Tribolium castaneum: one gene and its partner. The protein of the gene in region 1 binds, or shares a complex with, the protein of each later gene. Links are inferred from orthologs where the notes say so. Each region holds a gene or a part of one and is shown on either strand. Other genes may lie near its edges.

Region 1 (10,624 bases):
CAAGTTCCTCTGATAACGAATTTGCAAAACTATAACGGACATCCGTCCCTGCCGCATAATTCAATAAAACTCGTATCGTTATTGCGATAGTGCCAAGACATGTCCAAAGAACAAGCAAGATAATAACACAAATAAATGCTCGTTTATTGTCGATTATTCTCTATCAAAACAAAGAAACCCCGTACAACTTTCCAGCAGTAAACAAGTCATTATATGCATATATAAAATAAAACGGTATGCATTTATGGAAAAAAGGTCTCTCATGAGTATTCCTCTCAAGCCGCATCATGATTCAATAGAGACAATTTTCAACTGGCTGCGCGCCTGGAAGTCCTCTAGTAAAAACTGTCGTCACAGTTAAAATTTCATTAGAATAATTTTCAAGAGGAAACAAAATCCACCGTAAGTGGGCATTGTCTCCCCGAGACCTTTTTATTCCGCCCGCATGGCCATACAATGCGTTTAGACGTAACGATAAAGAAGAGGTTCTTTATTAAACCGCTTGCCAGCAACCGTTTACAATCGGATGGTTCATTCAAGTTTGCGTCTCGTTCTGTTTTCGGCTTTTGCCATAGTTTATCTTTATTTATACGCGTTGGGGTGGCCACCGCCTTGATCAATACAGCCCCTCGCTGATATCAACCTACCCCTTCTCTAACCTAAATTACGGCCGAGACAATCACACGTGTAACACTCCTGTTTTTTGCAAAGTTAATTTGTTTAACACAAGGCGTGGGAGGCCAGAGGATGTTGGATGTTACGGCGCGAAATTAAACTCTTTGCAAATGATTGGTGACACACAATGCCCGGAAATCTCGCGTGTTACGAATGCTAATCGTTAATCTGAAAAAGTTTTGTTTGCTTACTTGAGAGTAGATGTCAATGTCCTTGTAAGGGTTGACTGCGACGAGGATTGAGCCGGTGTATGTCTAAATCCAATTAAGGAAAATATTGGACGTCCGGTCCTGCTCAACTGGTGCGAAAATATTCACCAGGAAAGGGGGTGTAATTGATTAGTTCGCACTAGTGATAAGACTCTGGTTTGCTTCAAACGCGCTGCGCTCAGATCAAAAGCAAAAGAGAGTAATTATAAAAGCACATGTCTTCCTGTTTGTCTTGCGCTACAAAGATACAAAGCCTCCCCTAGTTTCAATTCAGGTCAGTTATTAAGTTTTTAAAACTGACAAGTCAGGTATTGATTTGATAATTGTTAATTATTGAAGTTACCGAAATAGAAATTGGTTTCTTTTCATTCGCAATTAACAGACATTTATCCTGGATTCCGATGGTGTTACATTAATTATTTCTTAATTTCCGCCCTTTCCGACCCTATTACGGTTTGTAGTCCGTAGTTGGCGAACCCCAATATTTAATTTTTCAATGAATGATTTGATTTTGAGACCATTATTTATGAGTCAGGTTTTGATAACTGTGTTTAAACACTACCGAAATTTTTCGGACCTGTGTTTACATAGAAATGCTAGAATAACATTTGTGACAATGTGAGTCACCATTTAAGGTAATATTTGCTGTGACTTATCTCGCTATAAATTATCGCCACATGCAGGGAATTCACAAATTATTAATTGTCTTATGAAAGATTTTGCTTTAAATACATAATTATATTTGGCTAAGCTGAAAGCGAAATTTTCAAAATAATTTTAGAATGTAAACTTTCTTTCAAAATACAGGATTCGGTTCCGCCAAAAATTGTTTTTGTTATGAATTTAAAATGAGAGGGGATTCTGAAATTTACACACATTGCCTTGTAGGCGATTATATAAAATACTATTGACAGCTGATGTACATACTAGAACTGCTGAATAATTTTTGAAGAATGTGTTTCTTATTTCTGGTAGTTTACAAAATGGAAAACGGTAAATAAATTGATTAGTAATATTACTTTTTTATCTTCGTAAATTTTGCTGTTCCGTCTGTTATTGCAAACAAATAAATGTTCTTCTTATTTCTTACGTCGTGAAATAAGACCAACAATTTTTAATTTCCACTGTCTAATTTTGATACTGTTAAAGATTTTAATAATGAAAACCTTCTTGAATAAATTTTTTGGAGTTTTTTTCATACAAAAGATTTTTTGTCCCGTCCGTCATGTGTAAACAAAATCAGAATTCGTCACATATTGCCTTGTTCTTCGGTTTCGTGGTTTAAATTAACAGAATATTAAAACGATTGTTTAACAATAACATGTAAAATCTTTTTCATGTCCCGTCCGTTATTGCAAACAAATATACGTTCTTCTTATTTCTTACGTCGTGAAATAAGACCAACAATTTTTAATTTCCACTGTCTAATTTTGATACTGTTAAAGATTTTAATAATAAAAACCTTCTTGAATAAATTTTTTGGAGTTTTTTTTTCTTACAAAAGATTTTTTGTCCCGTCCGTCATGTGTAAACAAAATCAGAATTCGTCACATATTACCTTGTTCTTCGGTTTCGTGGTTTAAATTAGCAGAATATTAAAACGATTGTTTAACAATAACATGTAAAATCTTTTTCATGTCCCGTCCGTTATTGCAAACAAATATACGTTCTTCTTATTTCTTACGTCGTGAAATAAGACCAACAATTTTTAATTTCCACTGTCTAATTTTGATACTGTTAAAGATTTTAATAATAAAAACCTTCTTGAATAAATTTTTTCGAGTTTTTTTCTTACAAAAGATTTTTTGGCCCGTCCGTCATGTGTAAACAAAATCAGAATTCGTCACATATTGCCTTGTTCTTCGGTTTCGTGGTTTAAATTAGTAGAATTTTAAAACGATTGTTTAACAATACCATGTAAAGTCTTTTTCATGTCCCGTCCGTTATCAATTTGTATTTTTTTCCTGCTCGTATTTCAAATTTTAAAACTATAGCTCTAATTGTGTAAATGTAAACAGTAGTAAACACAATGTTTGTTTTTTATTTAGACAAACAGGAAGAAAGTGTGTATTGAAAAGGTACCCCTAGTGCAAATAGATAACAATATTCAGGTTAGCGATAAGTGATAAATTTAAATGAACAAAGAGTCTGTGAATCGCATTATTACTTTACTTCTTTCCCACTTTGTTCACTCGAGTAGCGCTTTCGTTTGTCGTAAAACAATGCGGACCGATTAAGGGTTGGTTTTATTGTTGATTATTACCCTGAATTCGGCTTAAAAATGCTTAAGCCTGTCATCGTTCAACAATCAACACCCTCGGATTCGTTAACTTGACAGAATGGAACGATATGGAGATAACGAGGGTATTTTATGTCAGTTGCAAGGGAGCAATATCGCGTCATATGGAGCCCCAGAAGCCAATGATTTAACTTTTCTTCGCAATTAGATAACTTTTGTCTCATCTGCTAAACATGCACTCTTTTTCCCGAGCAATCTGGTGCCGGAAAAAACGTCCTTGTACATAACATTTCTGCGCTCGATGATTAAAACCGAAATTTTTCAAATCGTTCCCGAATGAATCACCCCGATCAATGGATTTTTCTGGGTCAAAAAACCTATAAGGTTGAGTCATTAAGATCGGTTCCGGTAGCTTCGATCTGAGTAACATTGAAACCGGAGTTAGATTCCTCCTGACGCAACATCGTGACAATGACATTCACGCAAATCGGAAATCGATGCGAATTGGGCGCGAGTTGTTCAAAATGGGATTTTATTTAGTTTTTCTAGTCCGGACGCGACACGCTTATGAAATATTCCTCAGAGGTGAAAAGGATACGTAAATGCGGTCTTTTTCGTAGCGCACTTTCAGGTTCTTGTTTATCACTTCTTCGTCGAGGATTGTCAGCCGTGTCATGTCCGGGACGCCATCGTCGGGCATCGCGCCTGAAATAAACGCAATTATCAATAAACCATTGAAATATGCGCTTGTTATTCACATCAGGCGTCACTGACATTGCTGTTTATTGTGGTGAAATCGCTGATGTCTTTGTAAAAATACCTGTTTGAAATAGAAGATTGATTAAAGGCTGCACCAGCTGATGGCTGGGGCCTGGGGCAGCGGCACGTGTCGAAAACATCTGCTCCGCGCGTCCAGCTCTTTAGCTGATTGTTGTTTGGAATTTAGCCAAACTACCTGGTTCTTGATGGTTCAAAGCAACCACAGATGGTTTAATTTAGAAAATGTCGGCCCAGGGGACGGAAGATGACTAAGGGGAAAGAAATTTAAAGAATATGCGGTGAAAACGAGCCGTAAAACGTATTCGTGATGGTGTCAAAGGTGGCAGTAAAACAGGATCAACAACGAGCCGAGACATTTTCGAGAGTTCGGAAGGAAAACACCTGTCTTGGAATTAATTTATTCAACGTAAATTAACTTCTGTCATTAGTCATTACACACCCATTGCTTTGAATAAACTGCAATTAGTGTTCCATTTTCATTTTTTCCGGTGCTTAAGCGGATTTTCAAGGACTGGGGGCCACCAACTTTTTTTTCATTTTTTTTTATTAGGCAAGGATTCCTGACAATTTGTATGGACTTTTCTAAATAAAGACGAAGTAATTCGCCACTTTTCTGCCAACAAATGAAAAAAATTCAAAGTAACATTAAACACCTTAAATTTTTAAGGTTCAATAAAATTAATGCCATGTTTGTTTAGCTAGTAGAAGTTGAGCTACTCGTATAAATTATTTCGTTAACGTATTTCAATTCTGAAGCAAAAAATTCTGTGTTCCTGTCTTAGGTAACACATAAACAAAATTATTCGTCTTCAGTCTTTAACTACAAAAAATTGTTAAAGAAAAAACCGAAAAGATGTTTCAATGGTTCATAAGAGGAAGAAGAAGTTCATATGGACACTGAATTTATTTTCAAAAACTAACAAAAAATATTTTATAGTTGAATAAATAAAATAATGAGTTTGTTCAATGAGAGAACATTTAAGAAGATCGAAGGATTGGCTTCTATTTAAATAAGGTAAAAATAACTTTAAAAAAACTTTGGAAACTTCTTGGAATTCGAAGGATAACATTTCAGTTCGTATTTTTATTAGATTAGTACTAAATACATATTAGCTGTTTCAAAACTATAAAAATGCCAAAGTCGCATTTTCTCTCAAAATTAGTTGTTTTAAATTATTCAGCACTTCAAAAAATTAATAGCTAATAGTTTCAGTGAGAATAGTTTCAACCACTACTCTTTTACAACGTTATCAACCTTATTTAAAAAAAAATATATTCGGTAAAATGCGACGTTGGCATTTTTATAGTTTTAAAACAGCTATTAGTATACTAATAGAATTTTTAACGCGAATTTTCTAAATAGCGAAACAAGTTAATTCTAAATTCTAATGTCTAGATTGCTAAAACTTTGGATAATTTCAGTTTTTGGAAAGAAACGAGATCTTTCAAAGACTCTACTAACTCTTCAAGACTCTTTTGACACTAGAAGACTCTTCTAACTCTTCAAAGACATTCGAAATAACGCTGAAAAAATAATATTTTTTAAACGAAGTATGGTATGACTTTTTTCTAAATCAAATTATTAAAAGGAGCGGGTTAATATCTCAATCTCATTTTTCTTCCTACCTATGTATAAACACGTAGTTACTTTATCTTCCTGTAAATGATTCTACTTCCTTCTAAATTTCATGTTCTCAGCTTTGCCGGATCAGATGATCAAGTAATGATGGGTTTCAGTTCATATTCGGTATTGAATTTTTTTATTTTGCATTTTTTTAATAACACCAAACATAAATATTTAATTCCAAAACGTAGGTCACATTCAGTCGAAATCTCGAAAAGTCTTATTATAATATGTGAGGTCAATGAAATCTTTTAATATACATAAAGCAAAAACCAACGAAATAGCAGTTCGACTTCTTGAAAAACCTATTTATACCAAAGGTATAATCAATTCTAAGCTATTTTTAACTTGATGTTCGGAAAGAAATAAAATTTGTACGAATCAATCTTGGTCCGTGGCCAACTGAGGAAATAAATTTTATTTATCGTATGTTTTAGCAGCTGTGAGACAGAAGTAAATTTTCCTTTCTACCAACCCCACTTAAGCACCAGTTTTTTTAATCATTCATAATTTCCGTGTTGCCAGAAAAAATTTCATTGCGATTTTTCCTCACAATGAAAATTTTAATTCCCAAGATAATGTAAACAATAAACTGAGCCGAGATCATAAAAAACGAATGAATCAAAATTTAAAAGTTTGGCTACAAAGGGGATTAAACAAATAATCCAGTCGGGGAAAGGGATGAAAATTGCCCTTCTAGAGATAATTGTTTTTTAAAAACCTGGTTTTTGAATCACGCAGATTGACATATTTTATTTCTAATACAAAAATATTGTCTGGATAGCTATTGAATTTTATTATTTCGTTCTGTAATTGCGAGCATAATTTTTATCTTTTTGGTGACGAATACGCCCTTTTGAACCCCACTGTGTTCGCATGCATAAATCGACAATCATAATTTTTCTAAACCCTCCCCCATTTACCTAAATGGGGCAAAATGTGTGCCAAATCTCGAGGGCAATGTAAACCACTAAACAAACCCCATCCCTAGGTGTGTGCTATAAAAAACGAAAAACAACTGCACCCACTCCCATCGCAATTTATTATTTTTTTCACTTAAAAAATATAATTTTGAAAAAAATTACCGTTTCTTTTCAAAAAAACTGTTCTTTGAATTAATAGGAGTGCAAAAAACCCCGTGTTAATTCAGCAAATGTCAATGCCGCCCTTAAAAATACAGGGGTTGCGAAAATTCCACTTACTCGTTGAAGTAAAATTTAATTCCTGCATTGTTACTAATCCTTACAGCGGGGAAACATTCATTTCGGTAGAGAAAATAATCACGAAAAAATTAATACACGAACATTTTAAAGAGAGCTTGCACACACCAACACTCAACTAAACAGAACAGAACTAACAACTCGAGGGTCTGACGAGAACTGGAACTGGAAATGAAAAAATCAAGCAAGCGAAAGCTAGGGGTGCTGCGACCACAGCGCCAAACAAACGAAAACGAGTCGATAAACCAGGAACCTGCCCTCAAATAACCGGAATAAATGTTACAATAAAAACTAAAACAGTTTGGCACTTCTTCAAATCGTTTTTTAATAATAATACTGGTCCCAAATTCGTGTTACATAACAAATTACACAAGTGGGCATAACTTTACCCAGTGACGGGTGGCGCTAGCGTTGTCCCACCTGCCAGACGTCAAACCCAGCTGAGTGTTTTTATTTTTTTGTGCACCAGGTGTAATAAAATTACACAACGTGGTCAAATTTTGTTCCGCTGGAAGCAACAAAAAATAAAAACTTGCCGTTTTCAAAATGAAAACTCGGTTCAACACCTTCGATATTATTTGCACCGTCACAGAACTCCAAAAGTATTTTTCTGTAAGATTGTTCTTTTGGCACTTATTTCTAATTTGCAGATGTGTCGGAATGCGAGTGAACAACGTCTACGATATTGACAATAAGACTTACCTGATAAGACTCCAAAGAAGTGAAGAAAAAGCGGTAATTCTGCTAGAATCAGGCAATAGGTTTCACGAAACCGGCTTTGAATGGCCCAAAAATGTCGCCCCTTCGGGGTTCAGCATGAAATTAAGAAAGCACTTGAAAAATAAACGCTTGGAGAGTTTGGCTCAACTGGGCACAGACAGAATTGTCGATTTCCAATTTGGTTCAGGCGAAGCTGCGTATCATGTTATTCTAGAGCTGTACGATAAAGGCAATATCATCTTGACTGATTTCGAATTCACGATATTAAATGTCCTGCGACCGCATACTGAAGGCGACAGGTTTAAGTTTGTGGTCAGGGAAAAGTACCCTCAGGATAGGGCTAGGCAGAGCAGTTTAATCACAAGAGATGAGCTGGTTCAACTTTTAAAGGCTGCGAAAAACGGAGATCAATTGAAAAAAGTGCTCGTTCCGAATTTAGGTGAAAATTGGCGATTTTTACGATTTTTTATTAACTTTTATATCTAGAATATGGCCCTCCTCTCATCGAGCATGTGTTACTTAAACAAGGTTTTTCAAATAGCACCAAAATCGGAAAAACATTTAATATCGAAAGTGATGTCGATAAGGTTCTCTGCGCTCTTGAAGAAGCCGAAAATCTTTTCTCAGAGGCCAAAAAAACGGGTTTTAAGGTAATATGGCCTCACAGTCTTTTATACAAATTTTTATATTTTTTTATAATCAGGGTTACATAATTCAAAAAAAGGAAGAAAGGGTAGTGAGTGCTGATAACTCTGAGAAAGAATATTATTACTCAAATCAGGAATTTCATCCAGTTCTGTACGAACAACATAAATCGTCAATTTCCAAAGAATTTCCCTCGTTTAACTCAGCCGTTGATGAGTTTTTCTCATCTTTGGAAAGCCAAAAACTTGAATTGAAAGCTTTACAACAAGAACGGGAAGCTCTGAAGAAATTAGAAAATGTGAAGAAGGATCACAGTCAGAGATTACTTGCTCTAGAAAAAACACAAGAAATTGACAAACAGAAAGCTGAGCTCATTACGAGAAATCAGGAGCTTGTTGATAAGGCTATTCTGGCGGTCCAGACGGCTTTAGCCACTCAGGTAAATTAAACTTAAGTCATTGGTTAAATTAGTTTTTACTGATTTATTTATAGATTTCGTGGTCTGACTTGGCCGATTTGATCAAAGAAGCTGCCTCACAAGGCGACGAAATCGCCCAGCGTATCAAAGAATTAAAGCTGGAAACTAACCACATTAGCCTGTATCTTACTGACCCTTACGCTGAAGATGATAGTGAGTCAGACGACGAAGATAATGACGATAAAATACCACCCATGGTGGTAGATGTGGACTTGGATTTATCGGCTTTTGCTAACGGGAGACGATATTATGACCAAAAGCGAAATGCGGCTAAAAAACAACAAAAAACAATAGAATCGCAAAGCAAAGCGTTCAAGTCAGCTGAAAAGAAAACCAAACAAACTTTGAAAGACGTAAGATATTGCTATCACAGGGTGACATTGTTAATTGTTTTTTTAGGTCCAAACAATCACAAATATTAATAAAGCTCGTAAAGTGTACTGGTTTGAGAAATTCTTCTGGTTTATAAGCTCGGAAAATTACTTGGTTATAGCTGGGCGAGACCAGCAACAAAACGAGTTGATTGTCAAACGCTACATGAAATCGACCGATGTCTATGTGCATGCTGATGTCCATGGTGCTAGTAGTGTTGTTATAAAAAACCCTTCAGGTCAAGCAGTGCCGCCTAAAACCTTGAACGAGGCTGGAACTATGGCTATTTGTTACAGGTTAGTCAGTGTAACTTATTAAAAGTTTTGCTATTTTTTTTATAATTTTTTAGTGTTGCTTGGGACGCAAAAGTCGTAACTAACGCCTACTGGGTCTGGGGGGAGCAAGTCAGTAAGACAGCTCCAACCGGAGAGTATTTAAGTACCGGTAGTTTCATGATTAGGGGCAAGAAAAATTTCCTCCCCCTATCACACTTGATCCTAGGTCTAAGCTTTTTGTTTAAATTGGAAGAAAGTTGCATTGAGAAACACAAGGATGAAAGAAGAGTCATAGCGCCAGGCGAAGAAGATTTTGTAGAAACTGTTGAGAGCGAGAATAAGGATGAGGTGGAAGTTGAGGTGCTTGATGAAAGCGATGAGGAAAACAAGGAGGAAGTGAAAAGTGCAGCAGATAAGGAAATTGAAAATGAAGAAAACAGTAGCTCCTCCGAGGATGAGGAAAGTTCAAAATTTCCCGACACTCAAATCAAGATCCAACATTTTGAAGGAACGAAGTTTGTAGTGTGACCCGAGGCGTTTGCCGAGTGGTTTAACGTTTGACTTTTTAGAATCAACATTTTGACAGAGCCTGTGATAAGAAATGATGAAACGGATGAGAACGAAACTGTTGTGTATTTAGGAGATAATAAACCGGTTGTGGTTAAACCGAATCAAAGGTCGAGAAATACCAGTGAATCGAAAACCAAACAACCGAAAAATGATGCGAAAAGTAGTTTTTGGTTTTTTATGATTCGTATTTTAAAATTGATTTGCAGATGAACGTAAAGAAGAAACGAATAATAAGCAAACGAAACGGGGACAGAAAAGCAAACTGAAGAAAATCAAGGAAAAGTATAAAGATCAGGACGAGGAAGAGCGCAAATTACGTATGGAAATCCTCCAATCGGCTGGGTCACAAAAAGAATCAAAGAAAAATAAGAAAAACAAAAATACAAACAAAGCCAAAAAACCGGAACAACCCAAAATAATCAAAGAAAGAATACTGCCAGTGCAAAAGTCCGAAATGATCGATGATGGAGGGGCCGAAGATGAGGAACCAGTGGTTCAGGCTGAGCTTGATATGATTAACTCTCTGACAGGTGTCCCTTTTGCCGATGATGAATTGCTATTCGCAGTACCTGTGGTGGCCCCTTATAATGCTTTGACGAATTATAAGTAGGGATTACTGTTACTTTTACTCTATAGTATTATAATCGATTTTATTTTTTAGATTTAAGATCAAGATAACCCCTGGAACCAGTCGAAGGGGCAAAGCCGCGCGCACCGCAGTCAACATGTTCCTCAAAGACCGGAGTATAACCCCCCGCGAGAAGGACCTCCTCAAGGCCGTCAAAGACGAGCAACTTCCACGAAACCTGCCCGGAAA
Region 2 (10,388 bases), on another chromosome or scaffold:
TAAAGGGCGATTCAAACAAACGTAGCCTCAGACAGAAAGCTCAAGATGCCATCAAGTTAATAGAAAAAACTATGAGTAGTAAACATAATAGAATGAAAGGTATACTGAAACAATGTTTCACGTAGAAGTGTTTGCATTTTTTTATTATGACCATTGAACTTTATTTTTATTCTTTAACATGAGTCGCTCTAGTAAACAAAAAATTCACGGTACTTTTTTCATTGGATAAGGAAGCAGTGACAAAAGTAATAGCAATTATTTTTTCAGGGCAGACACTAATGGAAGCTAATGAACAGGAAAGTGTAGGTGCAAATCAAGATAACAAAATAATTGCTTGCTGTATGCAAGTTTTAGAAAAATATGAAAATATGGTAACACAATAATCCACATCGAATTATTTTGGGTGACTTAATTTTTTAGGTTCTCCTCACAAATGACATTAATTTAAAAAACAAAGCCCATTTCAATAAAATTCCCGTATGCTCATCTAAAGAAATAATGTTTAAAATACAAAAAATGCAGAATAATATTCCGCTTTCTCAAGAAATAATGCCAAAAACGCAGAATAAATCAGCGACTATTTTAAATATCATGACATGTTTATGTAATACTGTAATTCGTGAATGCGCTAAAAATGCCTATGGAGAAGCCTGTAACAGAATGCCAATATGTCAGCCATCATCAAAGACTTTAACTGAATGCATCGCTACATTTACAAAATACTGGTTTCCTGTGTTTCAAGAAGTAGTAATGAAACAGTGTAAGAATGCCATAGAAGATCTTTCAGCCTTTCTATCACAGCACACAAGTAGGCTATATTTTACCAAATTCCTATTAATGATTTTAATTTTTTAGCTATAAATGATACCTCAAAAGAATTAAATGACCTCATAAGACTTTGTCTAAGAGTTTGTCTATTTTTGAAGGACGTCGAGTGCTGTAAAATTATGACCGAGAATACGATACGGGATTTAAACAGTCTTAAAAATTCTTAGCGTTTTCTGCAAAATCTTTCTTTAAAATTATATAAAAATTTGTTTAACTATTATCTCCACGGTGTAATCCGTTCAGGAATAAACTATTGTATTATGTTTGTTAAAAAAATGTTTTATTTGAAATTCTACCAATTTTATGTTAATAAAAAAATTGATCGTTACTTTTTGAGGATACCTCGTATAGCTTTGGAAATTTATTTCCGTAATGTTTACATTCTTGTCTGTCAATGAGATTTTAATTTTTTGACATCTGTCAAATAATAAAAGCAGTGACTCACAATCTCAAGTGTTATTGATTAAAAGTGCAAATAAAATAACAATTATTACTTTCCGATTAACAATACGATATTTTATTTGATGTTTTAGGTAAGACATGGAACGTTTTATGCTTTCTTTGCCTTAGTCCAAGCAAACAAATCATAATGATAAAAGTGTTTGATTTTACAGAAGAGATTAATAAACAATAAAATATGGATAGTTTTTCGTACCAAAACGGGGGGCAGAACAGAGAGCAGGATTTCCAAAAGTTGGCTCAAACCATTGGCACTAGCATACAGAAAATATCGCAAAATGGTAACTTTTTCCTTCATTTGATCACTGTATTAAGTGGCTTTTACAGTTTCGTCAATGCAACGCATGGTAAACCAGATAGGCACTCACCAAGACTCACCTGATTTGAGAAAACAGCTGTACGTACTAAAACATTATTCATTGATTTTTTTACTGAAGTTTTTGCAGCCATTCCATTCAGCACTACACCCAACAGCTTGTAAAGGACACCAATGGTTACATTAAGGACCTTAACGCCATATCCCCGTCCCAATCCCAGTCTGAGCAACGGCAGCGTAAAATGCAAAGAGAACGTCTTCAGGATGAGTTTACTTCAACCCTGAACATGTTCCAAGCTGCTCAGAGAAGCACAGCGCAGAAGGAAAAAGAACAAGTCAATAAAGCCAAAGCCCAAGCTTATGGCGAACCATTCCTCAGTAAGTTCATTATTGAAGGAAGCAGTGGCTTATTCTATCACACATTAAACTTTAGGTAGCTATAAAAAAGACGAACAATTGATCGAGTTACAAGACAGTAGTGCGGCAAAAGAGCAGGTGCAACTTCAAGAAGAATCAGAGTTACGAGCCCTCCAAGAGCAGGAACAGTCCATTAGACAGTTAGAAGTATGTGCTTTTATCTCAAAAAAATAGATAACTGTACAATTTGTTCTAGAGTGATATTAACGATGTCAATCAAATTTTCAAAGAGTTGGGTGCTCTTGTCCACGAACAAGGCGAAGTTATCGACAGCATTGAAGCAAATGTGGAGAGAACTAGCGATTTTGTGAGAGAAGGTGCCCAGCAGTTACACCAGGCTAGCACTTACAAAAATAAAATTAGGAGAAAGAAGATGATTCTTGGTATTATTGGTGCTGTTATCTTAACTATCATTATTATAATTATTATTTGGAAAACTAGTTAATTGCAAATGGTATTGGATCTATCACGAAATGTATATTATATGTATATCTAAATGTACTAAATCCAGCTGTACGAAGTCTATTTTTGCTGTACATTTTTACCACAGTTTAAATTCAGTGCCAAGGTCATTCTATTTAAACTGTTACGATATTAACTCATTTATTTATTATTTAGATTGTAACGATTTTACTTTATTGTTGCAGAAACTTTCAAGCTATTTTATAATCTCCAAATTTTTATCATGTTTTTAATTAAATTTTTGATCAGTGGCCCCTTAGTATAGCCAACTTATCTGAAACTTACAAGCCGCTTTGATCATAAATTTAATTTAATGCGTTATATTTTACAAACTTTAGGCATTTTTGTACATTTATTGTTTGTTTTTACTCTTGTTACACAGTAGGTTCATATTTTAGGTACTATTGTATTTGAAGAAGGCTTAATTGTTTTATTATTTCTGATTATTATAAATGCATCTGATGCTTTAACTTTAGTATAGACAAACATAGAAATTATCTATTCCACCAAACTTGTACCATTATTGTATTAAATAAAAGTTGTTACTTAAAAGTCTACTTTATTAAAAAATCCTGGAACTTGGATTGGTGATTATCGATTTTTTTTAGTTCTCAGTGTAGATTGTAAATTGACTAATTAAATTAAAATAATTCCTTGGTGCTAAACAAGCTCCATAAACAAGCAATTATAAAAAATAAATGATTAAAAAATCCAAAATTTCTACAGGAGAAACGTCAAAAAGATTTATAGGTTAAGTACAAGTCGTGTGTCAAATCTATCAAAATAAAAATCTCCAGAAGTCCATTGATTTCCTGCGGAAAGGATAACCAAAATATTCCTGAAAAAGAAATAAAACAGCAGACAAGTCACCAGCGAAGTTACTGTTCTTGTGATGTCTTCTCGAGTGTTGCGAAAATTACAGGGGGATAAAGACATTGTGGATGAAATATCTGATACAGAAACCGACATTCCTGTTAGTGGGGGTGCCCGACGAAAACAACTCAACATCAATCGCTACGATCTGGTAACAGCCCCTTCCAGTAACGCGAATTTTGCGTTAATTATCATCTTCCAGCTGAACCAACAGTCACACTCAGAGAGCGAAGTCAAGGAAGACGACAATGAAACGGAGGCTGCCAAGTCATGTGAAGGGGACCCAAACCACGAGGCGGTCAAGCGAAAGAAAAAGAAGAAGAAGAAAAAGTCAGGGAAACATGTGAATCCGCAGCGAAGCAGCGAGGACAATGCTGATGTAAGACCCAAAGTTATGGGTTAAACATTACTTTGCCTTTTTAGATCGACGAAGTCGAGAGATCAGTTCGTGAGGTGAACAGACTCTTGGGCGAAAGCCACTTGCCTAAAACCACCTCAGCTCCTCCATTCAACACCAAGCACGAGAAAAATGTCCACAATAAGAACATTCTGTCCGTGCAACATAAACATTTGAACCCGAACAATGAATTGAAAAAGATATTTGGCTCAAAAATTATCCAAGCTGAACAGTAGGTAATAGTCACTTAAAGCCCGATCTTCTGACTTTCTTCTTGTAGCAAAAGAAAAAACAGAGGGAGGGGACATACAAAGACAACGTGGCTAGTAAGTGGTAAAGATACGTGGCCCCAAGTGGGCAAGTCGGGACTTTCCATGAACTTGCTCGAAAATAAACAGGGGATTCAATATTTTACCTACGAACACAGTCAGAGTTACCGCCAGATACAGAACAGGTTTCTTGAGTCAGTTGAAAGTCTAAATCCTGATAATATTGTTGCAATTATTAATGACCACCCTTACCACATTGATGCCCTGATACAGTTGTCAGATTTGTGTAAATTGAGCGAGGATCTGGCAATGGCAGCTGAGTTTATTGAAAGGGCGCTCTATTGCCTGGAGTGCGCTTTTCACCCTCTTTTCAATGTTGCGCAAGGAAACTGCAGGCTGGACTACAGAAGGCAGGAAAACAGGTACATTTTTGTTTTAAATTTTAATAAAAAGATTACTATATTTAAACGCCTGGTAATTTACTGTAAAATTTTGCATTGTAATCGAAAGTTTTTTCCTACGTTCCAGGGCTTTATACATAACAATCTTCAAGCACCTGACTTTCGTCGGGGGCCGCGCTTGCTGTCGAACGGCCCTCGAGTTCTGCAAGCTTCTCCTTTCGCTGGACCCCGACGGCGACCCCCTTGCCATTAAACTAGCAATTGACTTTTATGCTTTACGTGCCCGCGAGTACAACTGGCTGATTGACTTTGCTGACGAATGGGAGACAGCAAAGAACTTGTCCCAACTCCCAAACTTTGCTTTCTCAACAGCCGTGGCCCATTTCCACACATCGAACGGCGAAACGGCCAAAGCCGACAGTTTGCTTCAGAACGCGTTGTTAATGTTCCCCGGCGTACTCATGCCTTTACTTGAAAAATGCTCAGTGCAAATTGACAACAGGGTAATGACGCACAAATTCTTCTCAGTTAACGAAAACAAGTAATTGATGAGTGATATGTAAACAGATGGGTATATTGGGTGTGTTTTAGACAATCGGCCGCTCTGACACAGCTGATCCAGTTGTATGTGAGTAGGTGTTACCATGTGTGGAAAGACAGCGATTTGATGCACTGGCTGGAACGCAATGTGCACGCAGTGTTGGATCGAGTTGATAAAAATGACCCAGTTGTGAAGGATTATGAGACGAAACGGGCCAAAAGGTACCAAGGCTCCCTGCCAAGGAGCATAGCGAGACATATTCTGCTCTCAGACATCAAGGATCTAACACCAATCACTGATGTAATTTTTTGTGCAAAACCACACATGGGATTAATTGTTATTCCAGGATTTCAGCGGACCTGTCTTAGGGTTCGATCCTTTGCCCCCTCAAGACTCCATCAACATCTACACCAAGCCAAAACGGCCAACAGTCTCAAATAATAGTTCCATTCCTTTAAGTATTTTCTTCAGGTCGATTTTGCCCAACTTTAATCCCAATCAGATTCCACCAAATCTTTTGGACCCGTAAGTCCATTTTTTGGGTTGTTTTCGCAGCCACAGTTAGCAGAGTGGAATTTTTTTGTAGACCGAGAGAGGAAGATGGCGCTGCAGCTCTTCCGGTTTACGAAAACGCAAACAATGACGCTGGAGATTTTAGACGAAGTGTCGTATCATTGGTTGGGGCAATGAGAGACTTGTTGAACAACATAAGGCCCCCAGAAATGGAAGTACCGAACGACGCTGATGTTGACGAAGATTACGACGACCTTACCTAATAATTAGTCTAATTCGCTAGTGAAGAAAACACTAAACCTTTTATTTCCTTATTGTTGCTATATTCTAAAAATGTTTATTATTACAATTATGATATAACCAAATAAATTGATAATCTGTCCGTTTTGTAGTTTCAGTTATGTTATTAAATTATTAATTCTAGTATAGATTCGTAATTAATTAATTAAGTAAAGCCCAACAATAGTGTAATATTAAAAAAATAATTTATAATTGTGTAGTTTAATTATTTAAAAGTGATAGTCTTATCTGCCACATCCTCCGCCTCCACAAGGACTTCTCCTAGGTGGGCGATAATTGGACGAACTTCCAGCGCCCATCAGTGGGTTATATCCTACAGTAACGAATCAATAAATCATGACTCAGCAAGTGTTACACTCACCTGGTCGCAAATTACTCGTATCATCTTTCCTACCCAAAACGTGACCCCCAGAAGTCTCATACTTCCTTTTAAGCTCCTCTCGCTTTTTCTCCTCCTTTTCTTTCATTTTTCTTTGATATTCTTCAGATTCTTTGTTATATTTTTCTTGGAGTTTCTGGGCCCACTGTTGTTGGGCACTGACATGTGCAGCAAAAACATCGGGATCTGGGGCCAAACCAGTTAAAACGATCTAAATTTCGTAAAGTAACTTACTCTTGTGGTATTTAGCCGCATAGTCTCTCTCAAATTTGTATTCCCTAAGTTTTTGGATGTAAGATTTTAAAGTTTTCTGGTATACCACTACTAGAGCTATACAAGCAATTAGCATATACCAGCCATAATTTTCAAGGATGTAAATGACTAAAAATGCGAATGTTAATTACCAAAACTTTCCTTTTTTTGCGTTAAGGACTAACCTGAATTCAGTGGATTCCAGAAGCCGTTTTCTTGCTCAAAGGCTTCAAACTCGTCCATCGCTCCCAGTTTGTTCAATATAAATGTTCCACAATATTATTGTTACGATGCAATTGCAATTTTTAATAATTAACAACAAACTACAATTTAATTATTAAACTGTCAAAATAATGTCAATGTCACCTGACGTGTCAAATCAAAATTGACGCAAGCGCTCTTGATTAATAAGGTTTTTTTGGACAAATAAATGTTAATCTGGTTAATTATTACATTTAATTTGTAATGATTATTATTAAAATATGCAGCACATGTTGTTGCGTTTTTGTGCTTACAAAATTCACACAAAAAACGTAAATTCGCTCTTTTTAAATTTTAAAATGAGATTTGAAATTTGACAAGTGTCCTATGGTTCTAGGGGATTCTAGTAACTTCCATGTGATTTTCTAGAATTCGTTGATTTTAAAATAAAAAGTAGTGTTGCTGTAATTGTGTTAATTAATGTTTAAAACTGTTAAAAATTTAAGGTCAGGTTCACAGCACAGTAAGTAAAATGCCTCAGCGCAAGAAACCGTTCAGTGGCAAAGCCAAGAAAGAGCAGCTAAAGGCCAAAAAACAGTCCAAACAGAACGCCCCTCAAGGTACCCTCTTATTTTTTGCAGAAAACTGTTCTAATTGTAACCACTTTAGAAGGTTTTGGTTCCCGAAACCGGCGGCCTTTGTTGAAGACCAGTGCCGGTGATAGTGAGGATCAGCCCCAAATTCAAAAATTCAATTACTGTCCCCCTAAGGACGGGCGAGACCGCAACCGTTATGCCTTGCAGTTTTACCGCGAGACTCCCTCTGAGCTCAAAGCACGTAAAGAAGAGGCTTGCAAAACCATAGAACCTGTCTCTGAGAAAGAGCTGGAAATTGACTCAAATGACTATTTTCCCAAAGACTTGGGTTTTCCTCGAAGGCCCCCGTGGTCATATGAGCTCACGACTGAACAGCTCGAAGCACGCGAAACCAAATATTTTAATGTACGGTTATTGTCATTAACATTATTTTGTCTGATCGGTTAATTTCAGGATTATGTTAATGGAATCTTGGAAAAGTATAATTGGAAAGAGTTAAGTTTCTTTGAACTGAACTTGGAGACGTGGCGGCAGTTGTGGCGGGTTCTCGAAATGTCAGATATTGTTCTGCACATTGTTGATATCAGATATCCCGTAATTCTGCCTCCCAATTTGCTTTATTAAATTTTAATTACTTTTTGTAGGCCCACATGTTTCCCCCATCTTTGTACGAATACGTGACTGAAACATTGAAGAAAGACTTTATTTTAGTATTGAATAAAATTGATTTGGCCCCAGCGCCGTTAGTCGTGGCGTGGAAAAAATACTTTGAGGAGAATTACCCCAATTTGCACATTTGCATGTTTACCACACTCCCTGGCTATAATCTAGTTGGCACCCAAGTGAATAGAGCTGGTTTGTAGTGTGTAATAAATTAATTACAAGATTTAATTGTTAATTTTAGGTCTCCAAGTCCGTAAACGCAAAGGCAAGTTCCGATTGGCTGCAGAAGGGAGTCAACAGTTGTTTGAAGTTTGTAAAACCATAGTTGGGGATAATATAGACATAAGTTCTTGGCAAACCAAAATAAAGGAAGAAATGAATTTGGAATACGAAAACGATGAAGACGAGAAAGTTGAAATTGGAGAAACAGTTCAAATGAAAGCAGTGGACACGAGTTACTTCGAACACGAAAAATACAAAAACGGTATTCTCACAATCGGCTGTTTGGGGCAACCCAACGTCGGCAAATCGTCACTTATTAACGCAATCATGGGGAAGAAAGTCGTCAGCGTGTCCAGAACTCCAGGCCATACGAAACACTTCCAAACAATTTTTTTAACGCCCAATGTGCGGCTGTGCGACTGTCCTGGTCTAGTCTTTCCGTCGAAAACACCAAAGGTTATACAGGTTTTGATGGGGAGTTTCCCCATCGCCCAACTTAGGGAGCCGTTCACAACGATAAAGTATTTAGGTATTGTTTTTAATTTTTGTTCTTGTGAGTTTTGAGAATTTTTTATAGCGGAACGTATGGATCTACCAAATATGCTGAGGATTGAACATCCAGAAAATGACGATACTTGGTGTGCCATGGACATTTGTGATGGCTGGGCCAAAAAACGGGGTTTCCTGACAGCCAAAGCCGCCAGGTTGGACAGCTACAGAGCTGCAAATGATTTACTGAGGATGGCTTTGGACGGGAAAATTTGCCTGTGTCTCAGGCCACCCAAGTACTCAAATAAAAAAGGTAGTTGACATGTCGAACAACGTTATTTTTTGTATAAGATGTCTCATTGCTTCTTTTTTTTATTTCATTTGACTTCGTTTGGAACATACGGAATATTTTAATTGAAAAATGTAGTTTTTGAAGAAAATTGCAATCGTTTCCTCATAATAAATTCTATCGTTGCGATATAATTTTTTTGGGGTAACTGGAAGTATTTTTTGACTAGCATTAAAACTTGAAACTCCCAAGTTTAATAGTTGTTTAATAATTTTTAATTTTGTGGCTATATGTAAAGATTTTTGATTACTTTGTACGTTTATGTGCCTGTCTTACAAACTCGTATCAAATATGATTCAGAATCCTGCTCATCAGCATGTAACCAATACAAAAAGTTGTCTTTATTTATCTCTTGACATAAAAGATAAAATAAAAGGTTTTCAGTTGAATAACATTTGGAATATGTTTAGAAGGCATACGTGAATCACTGATTTTTGTCCAAGATCTAGCTAATAAGAAAATCATGAAAATTCCGGGCAAACGCTGGTTGAAAAGAAATTGAAACTGCGTTATGTTTTATTTGTTAGATTATTGGGCCTCACACCCGGAGATCGAGAAAGTGAAGTGGATTCAGGCCAAATCTGACGATTCCACTCAGCTCGCAGACGACAAAGACTACCTCTCTGATGCTTCAGATGAAGACAACGTCCCGGGCTCCTCCGGTGACCACAAAGACCGAAGCAGTGAAGAAAGCGAAGACGAAGAAACTGACTCAGATGAAGAGCCGACGAATTACGCCCACAATAAATTTGCAGCGTTGGCAGACGACGATTGAAACAACCACGATGTTGAGTATTTTTATTAATAATTTATCATTAAATCCCATTAATTTTTTTGCTGCTTTTGCATTTTCTTCCACTTGTTGAACGGAACGACAATTAGTGGAACTAAATCTTCGTTTTTCGTATTCGCTGCAACGATTTCCTGACTCTGTTTTTTAATATCCTCCCTTGTCAGTTGCTCACTGGCTTCAACATATAAACCCTCCAACAAGGCTACAATTAACAATTAAATGAACGCATCCGTGTTTGCGTTTTGTGCAATTACAAGCTTCACTCAGGGGTGCCTCAGACTGGTCTGCCAGAATCATTCGCTCCTGCATCATTGATTCAATATTTCGAAAAGCCTCATCGGACTTTGGCTCGTGTTTGAGCGCAAAGTAGTGTGACATTAAGGGAGTGAATTTGGCCACCAAAATTGGCACAATTTTTGATCCTAAAACACTGATTTAGTTACATTTATACAAAAATAACCCTCAAGTAACCGTCGATTTCATCTTCGACAATTTCCTGTGGTTTGTCCTTCCTCTCGGCCAAAACACCAAAAGGGTGTGAGCTAGGAGCAGGTTTTTTCTTAGTTTCATCCGACAGTTCATACGAGACTTGTAAAAGTTGCCGCAAACCTATGCGAATATTTGCAGCTATTGTTCGCTTGATTTGTAGCAGTTTTGCATATCTTTTT

The links.
Region 2: Clbn (region 1) and Nulp1 share a complex: the UniProt entries of both Homo sapiens proteins name them as parts of the ribosome quality control complex. The link is inferred for Tribolium castaneum from reciprocal best matches to the Homo sapiens genes NEMF and TCF25.

What each region holds. Positions count from the first base shown.
Region 1 is NC_087396.1:12,779,329-12,789,952, forward strand, and holds the start of Clbn (ribosome quality control complex subunit NEMF homolog), read left to right. Parts: upstream 1-7,137; 5' UTR 7,138-7,293; coding exon 7,294-7,349; intron 7,350-7,397; coding exon 7,398-7,906; intron 7,907-7,953; coding exon 7,954-8,117; intron 8,118-8,170; coding exon 8,171-8,551; intron 8,552-8,604; coding exon 8,605-8,943; intron 8,944-8,989; coding exon 8,990-9,258; intron 9,259-9,311; coding exon 9,312-9,752; intron 9,753-9,806; coding exon 9,807-9,967; intron 9,968-10,013; coding exon 10,014-10,413; intron 10,414-10,468; coding exon 10,469-10,624. Other genes in the region: Myo81F (myosin-I heavy chain), read right to left, coding at 867-929, 3,722-3,828, 6,730-6,757. UniProt on the Homo sapiens protein: Key component of the ribosome quality control complex (RQC), a ribosome-associated complex that mediates the extraction of incompletely synthesized nascent chains from stalled ribosomes as well as their ubiquitin-mediated proteasomal degradation.
Region 2 is NC_087394.1:30,816,612-30,826,999, reverse strand, and holds Nulp1 (ribosome quality control complex subunit TCF25), read left to right. Parts: upstream 1-3,220; 5' UTR 3,221-3,374; coding exon 3,375-3,506; intron 3,507-3,557; coding exon 3,558-3,734; intron 3,735-3,778; coding exon 3,779-3,984; intron 3,985-4,032; coding exon 4,033-4,443; intron 4,444-4,549; coding exon 4,550-4,963; intron 4,964-5,013; coding exon 5,014-5,263; intron 5,264-5,309; coding exon 5,310-5,488; intron 5,489-5,549; coding exon 5,550-5,739; 3' UTR 5,740-5,858; downstream 5,859-10,388. Other genes in the region: transcriptional protein SWT1, read left to right, coding at 1-99, 268-371, 421-808, 856-995; Syx7 (syntaxin-7), read left to right, coding at 1,466-1,568, 1,615-1,684, 1,734-1,981, 2,037-2,167, 2,217-2,465; selenoprotein S, read right to left, coding at 6,001-6,089, 6,138-6,341, 6,390-6,536, 6,593-6,650; Ns4 (guanine nucleotide-binding protein-like 1), read left to right, coding at 7,141-7,228, 7,278-7,609, 7,658-7,798, 7,849-8,059, 8,109-8,618, 8,667-8,891, 9,455-9,702; uncharacterized protein LOC662435, read right to left, coding at 9,753-9,922, 9,975-10,142, 10,192-10,388. UniProt on the Homo sapiens protein: Component of the ribosome quality control complex (RQC), a ribosome-associated complex that mediates ubiquitination and extraction of incompletely synthesized nascent chains for proteasomal degradation.